2 linked regions of the Canis lupus familiaris genome follow. The protein of the gene in region 1 purifies or fractionates together with the protein of each later gene. This does not show direct contact. Links are inferred from orthologs where the notes say so. Each region holds a gene or a part of one and is shown on either strand. Other genes may lie near its edges.

Region 1 (6,214 bases):
ACGTAGAGAATCCAGTTTACAGAGATGTCTCTGGCCTTACATAAAACTACTCTCAGGAGGCCTGGGCCCCCGGCCCTGGCGCAAACCCCTGAGCCTCGGTGGCCTGGTTGGAAGGCCAGGGTCCGGGTCCTCCCAAGCACCAGGCCAAGGGGCTGTCAAGGACTCTGCTAATGCCAGGCAGCCACGTCACCGGGGACAGCCCTGCTCCCGCCCTTGAGGGAAGGGCCGCCCACCTGGGAGGTGAACTGGGCAGCCTCCTGGGGTGGGTCGGACTTGCTGTCCCCACACACGTTGCCTCGACGGATGTCCTTGACCGACACGTTCTTCACATTGAAGCCGACGTTGTCACCAGGCAGGGCCTCGCTCAGAGCCTCGTGGTGCATCTCCACCGACTTCACCTCCGTGGTGATGTTTACAGGAGCGAAGGTCACCACCATGCCCGGCCGAAGGATGCCCGTCTCCACCCGGCCCACAGGCACGGTGCCAATGCCTGGGGAGGAAGGGGGGAGTGAGGGGCCGGTGGGGTGTAGCCCCAGAGATGGAGGGAGGGGATGGGGAGACCCCGCAAGGCAGACACGGGTTCAGACACAAGTGGAGGCTCCCCTGGCCCTGTCAGGAACAGAAGAGACTGAACAAGAGAGAATGCCCAGGAATGCCTGGGCAGGAGCAACAGGAGGGCGACATGGGCAAAGAGAGGCCTCTCTGGACCTGGAGTCCTACCCCTGCCCCAGGCGGCAGCTATCCCCTGGAGGGGCACTGTAGGGACCCCTCCCTCCCTGGACTCCCCTCCTGGGGAGGCGGCAGCAGCAGAGTGGGCGGATGAACAGCCCACCCGGGACTCCTGGCCTGGCTTTGCTGTTGCTGGTGTCGAGGGGAGCCACCCCCAAAGGGGCGGGTGCTCCACCCCTAGTCATGGACCTGCTGCACTCACGTGGCTGCCCAGTGGGTGTCTGGTCCCCCCCCCCCCCGCCCCGCATGTGTGGGGGGGAGGCTCCACCCCCACATCCCTGGCTGTGATGCGACAGAGACTAAGGCTGGTGGCTGTTCTGTGTGCCGGGTGAGTGTGTCACGCCTGCCCTGCCCTGCCCGTAGCCTCTGGACTGGGAGTCTCCAGCAGTGCCCCTCAGGGCCTTGTGCTTGTTTATGCTTGCCCTGTCATCTAATGAATAGATTTTCTTATGCCTGGAGCTGGACTAGATCGTGTCTCCCACAAGCCTGGGACTGTCATGGAGGGAGGGGACATGTGAGTTACCCTTGTGCCACCCACTCCTGTCACAGGGCTGAGTGCTTATCTGAAGGGAAGAAGACCCTGAAACAGATGATGGGTGGATGGGTGGGGGTGGATGGATGTGTGAATGGATGATACACAGGTGGATGAGTGGGTGGGCGGGTGGATGGACAGATGGATTGTGAGGGTAGACAGCTGTGTGAATCGACAGGTGGATGGATGTTTGAATGGATGCATGGACAGGTAGATGAATGGATGGGTGAATGGACAGATGAATGTGTGGGAGTAAATAGCTATCTGGACGGAGAGATGGATGGATGGATGGAGAGATGGATGGAGGGAAGGGTGGATGGAGGGATGGATGAATGGATGGAAGGATGGAGGGAGGGATGGAGGGAGGGAGGGAGGGAGAGAGGGAGGGATGGATGGATGGGGGATGGATGGATGGATGGATGGAAGGATAGAGGGAGGGAGGGAGGGAGGGATGGATGGATGGGGGATGGATGGATGGGGATGGATGGATGGGGGATGGATGGATGGATGGATGGAGGAATGGATGGATGGATGGATGGATGGATGGATGGAAGGATGGAGGGAAGGATGGATGGATGGGGGATGGATGGAGGGATGGATGGATGGATGGATGGAAGGATAGAGGGAGGGAGGGAGGGAGGGATGGATGGATGGGGGATGGATGGATGGATGGATGGAGGAATGGATGGATGGATGGATGGATGGATGGAAGGATGAGGGAAGGATGGACGGAGGGAGGGATGGATGGGGGATGGATGGATGGATGGAGGGAGGGAGTGGAGGGAGGGAGGGATGGGGGGATGGATGGAGGGAGGGATGGAGGGATGGAGGAATGGATGAAAGGATGGAGGGATGGATGGGGGTACATGCATATGTGGATGGTTGGATGAAGGGATGGAGCATGGATGGGAGATGGACGGATGGATGGATGGTCCCCAGAGTGTACAGCACTGGGGAAGAGGCAGATAACTTGGCCTCAGAAGCTCCTGTCAGGGGCCCTGGGCTCAGGAGCGGGGTGGGCGGGCCGGGTGCCCCCAGTGGAGCAGCAGGTGTCCAACACTGAACCCTCACTCACCACCAATCTTGTACACGTCCTGCAGTGGCAGACGCAGGGGCTTATCTGTGGGGCGTGTAGGGGGCAGGATTGTGTCCAGGGCCTCCAGCAGGGACACGCCACTGGCGTTCCCCTCCTTACGCTCCACTTTCCAGCCCTTGAACCACGGCATCTGGATGGGAAGAAGAAGGTATCCATTGGAGGGAGAGACCTCCTGCACCCTCGCTGCCCTACACCATAGCCCCACGGCCTCCCGGGACCCTCCAGGAATCCCGGTGGAGGTACCTGACCTGAGGGGGGCCTGGGGAGCAGGGGAGCACAGACCCGCCCTCTCCACTGCCCAATGTTCAGCTCTTTACCCACGTCCATCACGATGCTGCACGGCTGGTCCCCGCACCCTCCTCACCCCCCAGTTCACACTCCCAACATCACGGAAGCCTTGGAAGAGGTCGGGGAAAAGATGTGGAGCCCAGTCCCGCTTAGTCCCCCTTTCCTGCAGCCCTCGGACCCCCCGGGCAGGGCTGGCACCGGCGCGGGAAGGGCTGGAGGCTGGCCAGCGGCCAGGCCAGAGGCAGAGAGTCCACGCGGCCCCCAGCCACTGTGCCAACCGTCTCCGGGCCCGGCTGGCCCTTCCCTGCCCAGGGCTTCCCGGCAGCAGACCCAGCACCCTCCTGGCATGGAGCCCCCCGGCCCGCTGGCCACGGGCAGGCAGAGGCGAGGGGCCGGCAGCACCGCCCAGCCCGCCCGGTGGGACTGGGTCCTGTGGGGGGCACAGATCAGCAGCCAGCTCCCCGAGCAGCAGGTCAGGAACGGGACACTCTAGGGTAGGGCGCCCTGTCCGCCTCCCGGGAGGGTGGGGAGTGCAGTCCACTCACCCATCGCCACACGACAGCCGTGTGGGACCCTCACCAGGCAAACCCGCAGCCCAGCGAGCCGGGGGCAGGGTCCCCAGCCTCGTCCCCTGACCACAGGGCTCCAGGACAGTCCCCCTGGCTCTTCAAGGGCCCCTCCCCGCCCGCAGCACTGGCCAGAGCAGACGGCCGCCCTCCTGGGCCAGGCGCGTCCTCTGGCCCCACTGTCCAGGCACCTGGCCTCAGGCTCTGAGAATTCCTCACCTCCCCAGTCCCCGCGCCGCAGGCTGCCCGAGCCACAGGCTTCCCACCCGGCCGGTGGAGAGCGAGCCCTCGGCCCCTCCCAGAGCCTAACCTGCCCGCGCCCGCAGAGGCTCCTGGCAAGGTGAGGACGGGCCGGGCAGAGCCCCCAGGCACCGAGCACCGGGCCTCGGACCCGGCGGCACTGCTCCCGCGCTCCCCGCCGGAGGGGGCACCCCTGGCCAGGGAAGGGGCCTGTGCCGGCCTCGCGGGGCCACGAGGCCCGCGCCCCGAGCACGAGCCCCACGCGGAAGCGAGCGCAGCAGGGCGGGGCGTGGATGCCCGGGGGAGCCCGGGTCCTGCCCGCGCCTGGTCCGCGCCCGGGCCCGGCTCTCAGGGAGGGGTCCCCGCAGCCCCGCGCCCACCCGCCCGCCCGCCCGCGGGCACTCACGTTGGGCGAGGGCTCCAGCATGTTGTCCCCGTGCCAGCCCGAGATGGGCACGAACGGCACGGTGGCCGGGTTGTAGCCGATCTTCTTGATGTAGGCGCTGACCTCCTTGACTATCTCGTCGTAGCGCTTCTCGCTGTAGGCCGGCTCCGTGGAGTCCATCTTGTTGACCCCCACGATGAGCTGCTTCACGCCCAGCGTGTAGGCCAGCAGCGCGTGCTCGCGGGTCTGTCCGTTCTTGGAGATGCCCGCCTCGAACTCGCCCACGCCCGCCGCCACGATCAGCACCGCGCAGTCCGCCTGCCCGCAGGTCGCCGTGAGCCCGGGCCCCTCCAGGCGGTCGCCCGGGGGTGGGCCCCAGGGGTCTCGACCAGGGGCAGCAGCAGGGCCTTGTCCATCCGTGCGGACGGCCGTCTATCTGGGTCCGTGTGTCTGTCTGCAACGGCGGCCCTGACCCACAGTCCCTCCCGGCCCCTCTGCCTGGCTGAGGTGACGGGCACCTAATCATTCTCTGGGGGCGGCTCTGTAGCAGGTGGGGTGGGGGGTGCCTGCCCTGGCAAGGAAGCGGAGGGAGCCCAGCCACCCCTCCAGGACCCCAGGGCCCTGGCCCCTCGGGTCCCCTTGGCCCCCCACAGCCCCGCCCACCTGGGATGTGCCGGTGATCATGTTCTTGATGAAGTCACGGTGGCCGGGGGCGTCGATGATGGTGATGTAGTACTTGGTGGTCTCGAACTTCCAGAGGGAGATGTCGATGGTGATGCCACGTTCCCGCTCCGCCTTCAGTTTGTCCAGCACCCAGGCATACTTGAAGGAGCCCTTCCCCATCTGCACAGGTGGGGCATGGCTTAAGGAGGGACCCGGGACTCAGCCCGCTGGCCACGGGTCCCCCTGGGCCACGGGAGCATTCGCAGCAGAGGCCTGGGTGCCAGGCTCCCTCACTCCCCACGGGGCCCTAGGGCTCTGATCGTCTGTAGAATGAGGGAGCCAGGAGCAAGGACCCTGAGGGGCACCCAGACCTCAGCCCTGCCCTGCCCGGGCCCTGCCACCCGGTGTCCCCGGCTCCTGCCCTCTAGATGGTTGCCATTCGGACGTCCTCCAGGAGGTGGCGCAAGGGCCTGGGAGCCAGGCTTGGAGAGAAGCCACCAGGCCTTTAAACCCCTCCCCTGGCTGAGGGCTCCCCTTTTTCCGCGCTGGCCACCCCCAGCCCCGGAGATCCCTGCATGAACCGGAGGCCCACAACGCCACCGTCAAGGTGTCAAGCCCAAAACACAAAACAAAACCCTCTATGACGATTTTTTTTTTAAGGGAAAAAAAGGAAATTGGATGAGGTTGCATGGAAGGGCCTGGCTTTCCAGCTCTTTCTACAGCCAAGGCTTCCAAGTAGCTCTAAGGCTCCACCTGCAGACACCTGTGCCCAGCCCGGCGGAGACCCCCATACCCTGGGCCAGAGCTGAGGCTGCTGCCCAGCAGGACAAAACCCCCGCAGGGCTGTGCATGGACAGGGCTCTGGCCTCCAGGGAGGCTGCCCAGCCAGGAGGGCCACCCAGACAGGGCCCAGAGGGGACCCAGCGAGACCTGAGCCAGGCATCCTGCAAACCCCCACAGCCTCCGCCAGCGCCAACCCCGCATGGAAGGAGGGAGTGACGCAGCTTTTGGGCTCAGGCGCGGAGGGAGGCCGCCCAGCGCAACACCCACACACTCACTCTGAGCAGGGTCAGCCCAGGCCGGCAACTGAGGCCTCCTGGGCCCAGGCCCCAGCCCCTGTCATCCAGGAAACACCCTCACGGCCACCCAGACGGGGCCTCTCCCGGAGCCCAGGGGTGGGGGTAGAGGCTGCAAAGGGCAGACACCCACTCCGTGGTCACTTCCCACCCACCGGCTCGGCCACTTAAGAGAAAGGAGGTCAGTCAACGGGGCCCCCATCATTGTCACGAGGCACAAGAGGCAACCAGGACCCCCCCAAAAGAGCTCCACCCTGGACGAGCAGCCCTCCCCAGCCCAGCCTGAGAAAATGGAGCTGATGGGCTGGGTGCCCATCAATCAGCTATTAATAGCCGCCCTGAGTCCTGGCCCAGCCCTGGGACAAGTGAGGGCATCACCCCCTCAGCCCCGGAGACACAGGAACCCCACGCGGGTTCCAGGGTGCTCCACCCCAACTCGCCAGAGGTTTCCAGAGCCAGAAAGGCTGCCCCCAGGGCACCTCCCTGACCCGGAGGCCCCTCCAGCCGGCCGGCCCTGCCCCACTCCAAGCACATCCCCTGGGAGGCTGCCCCCAGGGCCCCCATCCCTCAGGTACTGGCCCCCAGGCAGGTCCTTTAGGGCTCGTGCCCCCTCGTGCCCCCTCGCCCTGGGGGAGGTCA
Region 2 (6,276 bases), on another chromosome or scaffold:
ACTTTGATTTCCACTCAGGTCATGATCTCAGAGCTATGAGATGGAGCCTCGTTTTGGGCTCTGCACTCAATGGGGAGTCTGCTTCTCTCTCCCATTCTCCCTCTGCCCCTCCCCCTACTCATGCACACACTGTCCCCTTCTAAAATAAATTAAATCTTAAAAAAAAAATTACAAAATGGCAGAGGGTGAACTCTGTTGAACCCTAACAGACCAACTAAGAAAGGCTGGATGGCTTTGGGTGGGTGAGAAAAGCAGGGAGTGGGTGAGAAAAGCTGGGATCAAGGACTCTGTGAAGTGGCCACAGACAAGACAGGTCTCCTAATGCTTGCAATTCTAATGAAAAACCTAGGGCATTAGCTGATGATGTGAGTAGTGCTAGATGTCCTGCTTTTTTTCACACTGAAAAGTTTCCTTTTACTGTATTCTTTTCTTCCAAGAACCCCAAACTTCATTAAAAAGGTTGGCAGTGGATAGGGGTGACAACCGTCCCATCTATTTCCTTTTCTTTTAGGGGTTTAACTCCAGCAATCTGAGAAATAATGAAGCAGACAGGCACTATGGAGTCATAGTCATCCTCGCTTCTCAGAGAGAATGTTTATACTGCCTTCATCAAAAGGGTAAAAATATAATAAAACAACACTGATGTGGTGTCACTGCTTCAGCAAAGGCAGCCCAGCAGGGTAGACATGAGGCTCTCTGCACCTTCTTATATTAGTTCTGAGGACTCTCAAATCTTATTGAGCATACTTAAGACCAGTCTACCTCCACACCCAATTCTGTGCCTGTCTACATTCTTTGCTGGAAAAGGAGTTCTTATCTTCCCAAATACTAGATATATTAGAAATTTCATTTCCACTTTTAAAATTCATCCAATTCTTGGAGCACCTGGGTGGCTCAGTAGATTAAGTGTCTGCCTTCAGCTCAGGTCATGAGGTCAGGTTCCCTGCTCAGCAGGGATCCTGCTGCTTTTTCCCTCTCCCTCTGCCCCTCCCCACCCAGCTTATAGGTGTACACACACTCTCTTTCTCAGATAAATAAAATCTTTTTTTTAAATGCTTGTGTTTTTTTTTTTTAAGATTTTTATTTATTTATTCATGAAAGACACAGAGAGAGAGAGGCAGAGACACAGGCAGAGGGAGAAGCAGGCTCCACACAGGGAGCCGGACGTGGGTCTTGATCCTGGGACTCCAGGATCACACCCTGGGCCAAAGGCAGATGCTAAACCGCTGAGCCACCCAGGGATCCCCAAATAAAATAAAATAAAATAAAATAAAATAAAATAAAATAAATAATTAAAATAAAATAAAATAAATAAAATAAAATAAATAAAATAAAATAAAAAAATAAAATAAAATAATTAATCCAATTCTTGAGGATAAACTTTCCTTGCAAACAAAACATCTTTTTTTTTTTTTTAAGATTTTATTTATTCATGAGAATACACAGAGAAGAGAGAGAGAGAGAGAGAGAGAGGCAGAGACATAGGCAGAGGGAGAAGCAGGCTCCATGCAGGGAGCCTGACATGGGACTGGATCCCGGGTCTCCGGGATCACACCCTGGGCTGAAGGTGGCACTAAACCACTGAGCCACCCGGGCTGCCCACAAAACATCTTTCAATTTTGTATGGACAACCTAAAATAGCCCTAGCTGTGTGAGGGGAACACACAGAGGCAAAAAGTGGCCTTTGGGAGTCCCATGTCCCCTACCCCCCAATATCATTACCTCTTGGGCAGGTGAGCAAAGGGGTCTTTGGCCTTTGGCTCAGCAGCCAGTGCCTGCTCACATTCATCCATTTCCTCCTCAGGAGCAGGGGCAGCAGCCTTCTTCTCCTCTTTCCGCTCAGCCTGGGGCTTCTGCTTCTCTTCCCGAGAACCCTTCTCTTTCCGTGGGGTGTCTTTTTTAGGTTGGCTCTCTGCAAACTTTTTAGCTGGTGCAGAAAAAGGGAGAGAAGTCAATATCCTCCCTCTTTCCATATGCCTCTAAAAGCAGGCAGTGAGCAGGGTAATGGAGGAAAACTGCCGGGCAGGGAACTAAGGGATCTAGGCCCTGCACTGCTCTGCCACCAGTTCCCTGTATGTCCTGAAGCAAGAACACAACCCTCAGCAACAAATATACGTGAACCTTATTTGTGGGTTCACATAACCCAAAAGCCTGATGGGAAATCAAGGGACTGAGACTGAGCCAACCAGCCCAGAGCCAGGCCATATACTCCTGTATCTCCACAGACTTACCATCAAACTGGGCCATCTTCTCACAGAGTTTCACCTCCCCCAAGACAGCCCGGAACTGGGGCTGGTTAATGCAGGTAAGGAACCAGCGGTTGGTATTGGGGAAGGCCTGGCGGAAAGAAGGCTCCAGGACCTGTCAAAACATAAGGGTAGAATAGAAGCAAAGGAGAGAAAGTTCTTGAGGAGTTTCAAGCCAGAGACATTTCTTTCTACACCAAAGCTCCAATCTTCCTCTCAATCCCTGAGATGGGAGCTCCCTAGTATAGTATACCATCTTACCCTGGAAGGGTACTTCCCATTTACCTTCCTCTTTTTCACTATACAGTCCAACTCAGCGGATACTCGATCCCATCCCCTCATTTACTATAAATCTACTTGGTAGACACGTTCATATGGTGCCTTACATCATTTACAAAACCATTTCATCTACACGTCCAATCTTTCTTTATTTCTTTATAATCTTATTCATGAGAAACACAGAGGGAGAAGCAGGCTCCTCACAGGGAGCCCAATGCAAGACTCAATCCCTGCACTAGGGATCACACCCTGAGCCCAAGGCAGACGCTCAACCGCTGAGCTACCCAGGCGTCCCACATTCCAACCTTTTATTTTATTTACTTATTTATGAAAGACACACAGAGAGGCAGAGACACAGGCAGAGGGAGAAGCAGGCTCCATGCAGGGAGCCCGATGTGGGGCTCGATCCTGGGACTCCAGGATCACACCCTGGGCCGAAGGCAGGCGCTAAACCAGGCGCTAAACCGCTGAGCCACCCAGGCCTACCCATTCCAACCTTTTAAATGTCACGTGTCAGGGCACTCGGGTGGCTCAGTAGGTTAAAAGTCTGCCTTTGGCTCAGGTCGTAATCCCAGCATGATCCCAGCATCCTGGGATGAAGCCCCACATTAAGGCTCCCTGCTCAACCGGGAGCCTGCTTCTCCCTCTCCCTTTGCCCTCCCTCCCTGCTCATGCTGTATCTTTTTGTCTCAAAAAAATAAAATCTTAAAAAAAAAAAAAGTCATATCAATAAAACTAAAGCAAATAAATAAAAGGCAGGGCAACACAGCTACCAATTACTCGTTTTACTAAGTAAACCACAATTATCTACATGATATATACTATTCACCAAACTTCAGAAGCTAAAGAATATTCAACAGTCAAAAAAAAAAAAAAAAAAAAAAAAAAGGCAAAAAAGTACTTCAGAATAACAAACTGTCCTTTAAACTTAGCTTTGTAAAAAACTCATTTACCATCTTTTAGTTTGCTAAGATTATATGGAAAATAATCTTGTCAAGAAGACGGAACAGAGCGGTCAGTTCTTTGGCTCTGGTTCTGCAGTACTGGGTTCAAACTCTATGCCACACTTACTAGCTACATTCCCTTGGGCCAGGTTCCATTTCTCCTCACCCATACAGCAGGTAAAGATTAAGATGATCCCTGCAAGGCCCTTGACACAGAGCCTGACACAAAGGAGATGCTTTTTTATTTTCCAATTACTGCACTACTATTCTGGACCCATATTAGTCCAATAGCTGCTTGGTCAGCAACATGTCATCTTCTTTAACCCAAAAACCTCAAAACTAATTACTACCATGCTGATTTTATAGCTTACAGAGGAGAAAAAAAAAAAAAAAAAAAAGAACTCAAGGAATTCTCTCAAACACACACATCCCTCTACCTACAACTAGTAAGTAATGAAACTAAGAACTGAACCCAGCCTGCCTCCAAAAGATCTGGACACTGAAGCTACCAGACCTTCCTGTCTTTTTTTTTTTTTTTAAAGATTTTATTTGGGATCCCTGGGTGGCGCAGCGGTTTAGCGCCTGCCTTTGGCCCAGGGCGCGATCCTGGAGACCCGGGATCGAATCCCATGTCGGGCTCCCGGTGCTTGGAGCCTGCTTCTCCCTCTGCCTATGTCTCTGCCCCTCTCTCTCTCTCTCTCTCTCTCTGTAACTATCATAAATAAATACAAATTAAAAAAAAAAAGATTTTATTTATTTATTCATGAGAGAGAGAGAGAGAAAAGAGAGAGAGAGGGAGGGGGGGAGGAAGGGGGAGAGAGAGAGAGAGAGGCAGAGACACAGGCAGAGGGAGAAGCAGGCTCCGTGCAGGGAGCCTGACATGGGACTCAATCCCGGGACCCCAGGATCACGGCCTGGGCTGAAGGCGGTGCTAAACCGCTGAGCCACCCAGGCTGCCCGCCTTTCCTGTCTTTACAACTAAGCACAAGCACAGCTGGACCCCAAAAATACAGAAACAAACCACATCTCTTCTATCAAACAGAAACTCAGGAAACAGAACATTACCAAACTTCTCAGGAGGGAAGGTAGTCATGGTATTCAAACTTGGGATTCCTATAGACTAGTAGTTACCCGACACCCTTCACATCCAAGTCCTCAGCAGAATACAGGGTAACCTGGAAGACTTAATGGCTTAATTTCTAACCGCCCCCTATCCTCTGCCAACCTAATTCTTTATAAATGTCACCTGTTTATAGAGCCACAACAGGGTGCAGACAACTGTGATGTCAGCCAGTGTCACACGTTCGCCCACCAGAAAAGTCCTCGTCTTCAAATGAGTATCCAGGAGCCCCAGAATTCGCCTCACTTCCTCCTTTGCATTCTCTGTGGCCTATTGATTTAAAAGGATTCAAAACTTAATAGTGGATACCTATCCCTTTCCCTCTCCCCTCCAATGACAGACCTAAGGTAGCTATTTCACTTACAAAGTTCTGGCTCATCCCCATCTTCTTTCAATGGAGTCAGATTCCAGATCACTCCAAATGTATCACAAAGGAAGCTCTCAAGGTCAAATTTCCTCATGGTGCAGTCTGGATTAATTTCCCACTATATGACCTAGTCCTTTATCTTTGAATTTTAGAAGGAACCTTAGAAGTCACCTGATGTAACCACTCCCCTACCATTTGGGATAGCTTTTCTATAACAGAAATCTCTCCTCTGACCACTCATGACAGGCACCACCTCCAACTGGGTCTGTGTAACAAAGAACCCAGACACTATCAACAGCAGTGCTCCAAACTCATACCCCAAAGATTAGGTCTTTTATTATCCACAAATTCTTAGCATCTCCTTTTCTCAATCTATTTTATTTCTTGCTCCTTGACACTCAGGAGCTGATTTCATCCTGGGCCTTGGCTTCTCCCCAAGTTCCAAGGCTTACCTGCTTGTTGTGGTGCATGATGCCCAAGGTAGGAAACACCCAGGTACTGGCTGGGGGCACTATGTCGCTATCAGCAAAGCTCACCCACTGCACCACCTGGGCTGCTGCCTCTGGAGTATTTCCCCGCAGCTCCTCATTGCTCACTGCAGAGGCAGAACACAAAGGTCAGAACTTTGGGGTCAGGCCAACATCGATCCAAGTCCGTAAAAATTCTTCTCCTGTCCACTACAGCTCACCCTCATCCTCTCCTACCTCCTTCATTCCTGGTCTTCCCATTCCCACACCCACTGCAAATTACCATAGTAGGCAATGGCATTGCTCTCAAACACACAGAATCCATCGTCACCCTCAAATGCTGGAACCTGGGATAAAACAGTCAAAAGATAAAATTAAAAAAAAAAAAAAAAAAAAAAAAAAACGTTAGGTAAAACAATCAGGAATTACTCACCAGCCAATACTGGGATAAAGTTCTTACATAAGGCTGACAATCCTTACTAAGCAAACTACTGATATGAACTACTACAATCTGAAACTTAGGAACCAGAAATAAAATTTAAGTAACTTGGTATCCCTTACAATGTGAACTCACATGAGAAACCGCAAAGATTTAAATATTATCAACTGTTTATATAAAATCCCTCAATCAAATATGCAAAAGACCAAAAACCAAGTGTCATCTCTCTCCGTATTCTTGAAAGTATTGTGGTGCTCCCTGAACTGCATTTATCTCTTCTCTGTTTAGCATGGTTGTTTATCGACCTCGATAAGCCCTTTGGTTGGCTCATGGCAGATACTCGATATATTTGCGCTGAAAACAGCCAAAACCCATTCTCTTTCCCGCAAATACAAAGAAACTTGCGAATTTTAT

The links.
Region 2: the proteins of EEF1A2 (region 1) and EEF1G purify together in Homo sapiens (affinity purification with mass spectrometry; 4 studies listed by BioGRID and IntAct, counting the BioPlex papers as one, with this or other methods). This does not show direct contact. The link is inferred for Canis lupus familiaris from reciprocal best matches to the Homo sapiens genes EEF1A2 and EEF1G.

What each region holds. Positions count from the first base shown.
Region 1 is NC_049245.1:47,945,751-47,951,964, forward strand, and holds part of EEF1A2 (elongation factor 1-alpha 2), read right to left. Parts: intron 4,680-6,214; coding exon 4,500-4,679; intron 4,155-4,499; coding exon 3,858-4,154; intron 2,488-3,857; coding exon 2,337-2,487; intron 491-2,336; coding exon 234-490; intron 1-233. UniProt on the Homo sapiens protein: Translation elongation factor that catalyzes the GTP-dependent binding of aminoacyl-tRNA (aa-tRNA) to the A-site of ribosomes during the elongation phase of protein synthesis.
Region 2 is NC_049239.1:54,582,762-54,589,037, reverse strand, and holds part of EEF1G (elongation factor 1-gamma), read right to left. Parts: intron 5,771-6,276; coding exon 5,707-5,770; intron 5,552-5,706; coding exon 5,409-5,551; intron 4,860-5,408; coding exon 4,716-4,859; intron 2,362-4,715; coding exon 2,232-2,361; intron 1,928-2,231; coding exon 1,723-1,927; intron 1-1,722. UniProt on the Homo sapiens protein: Probably plays a role in anchoring the complex to other cellular components.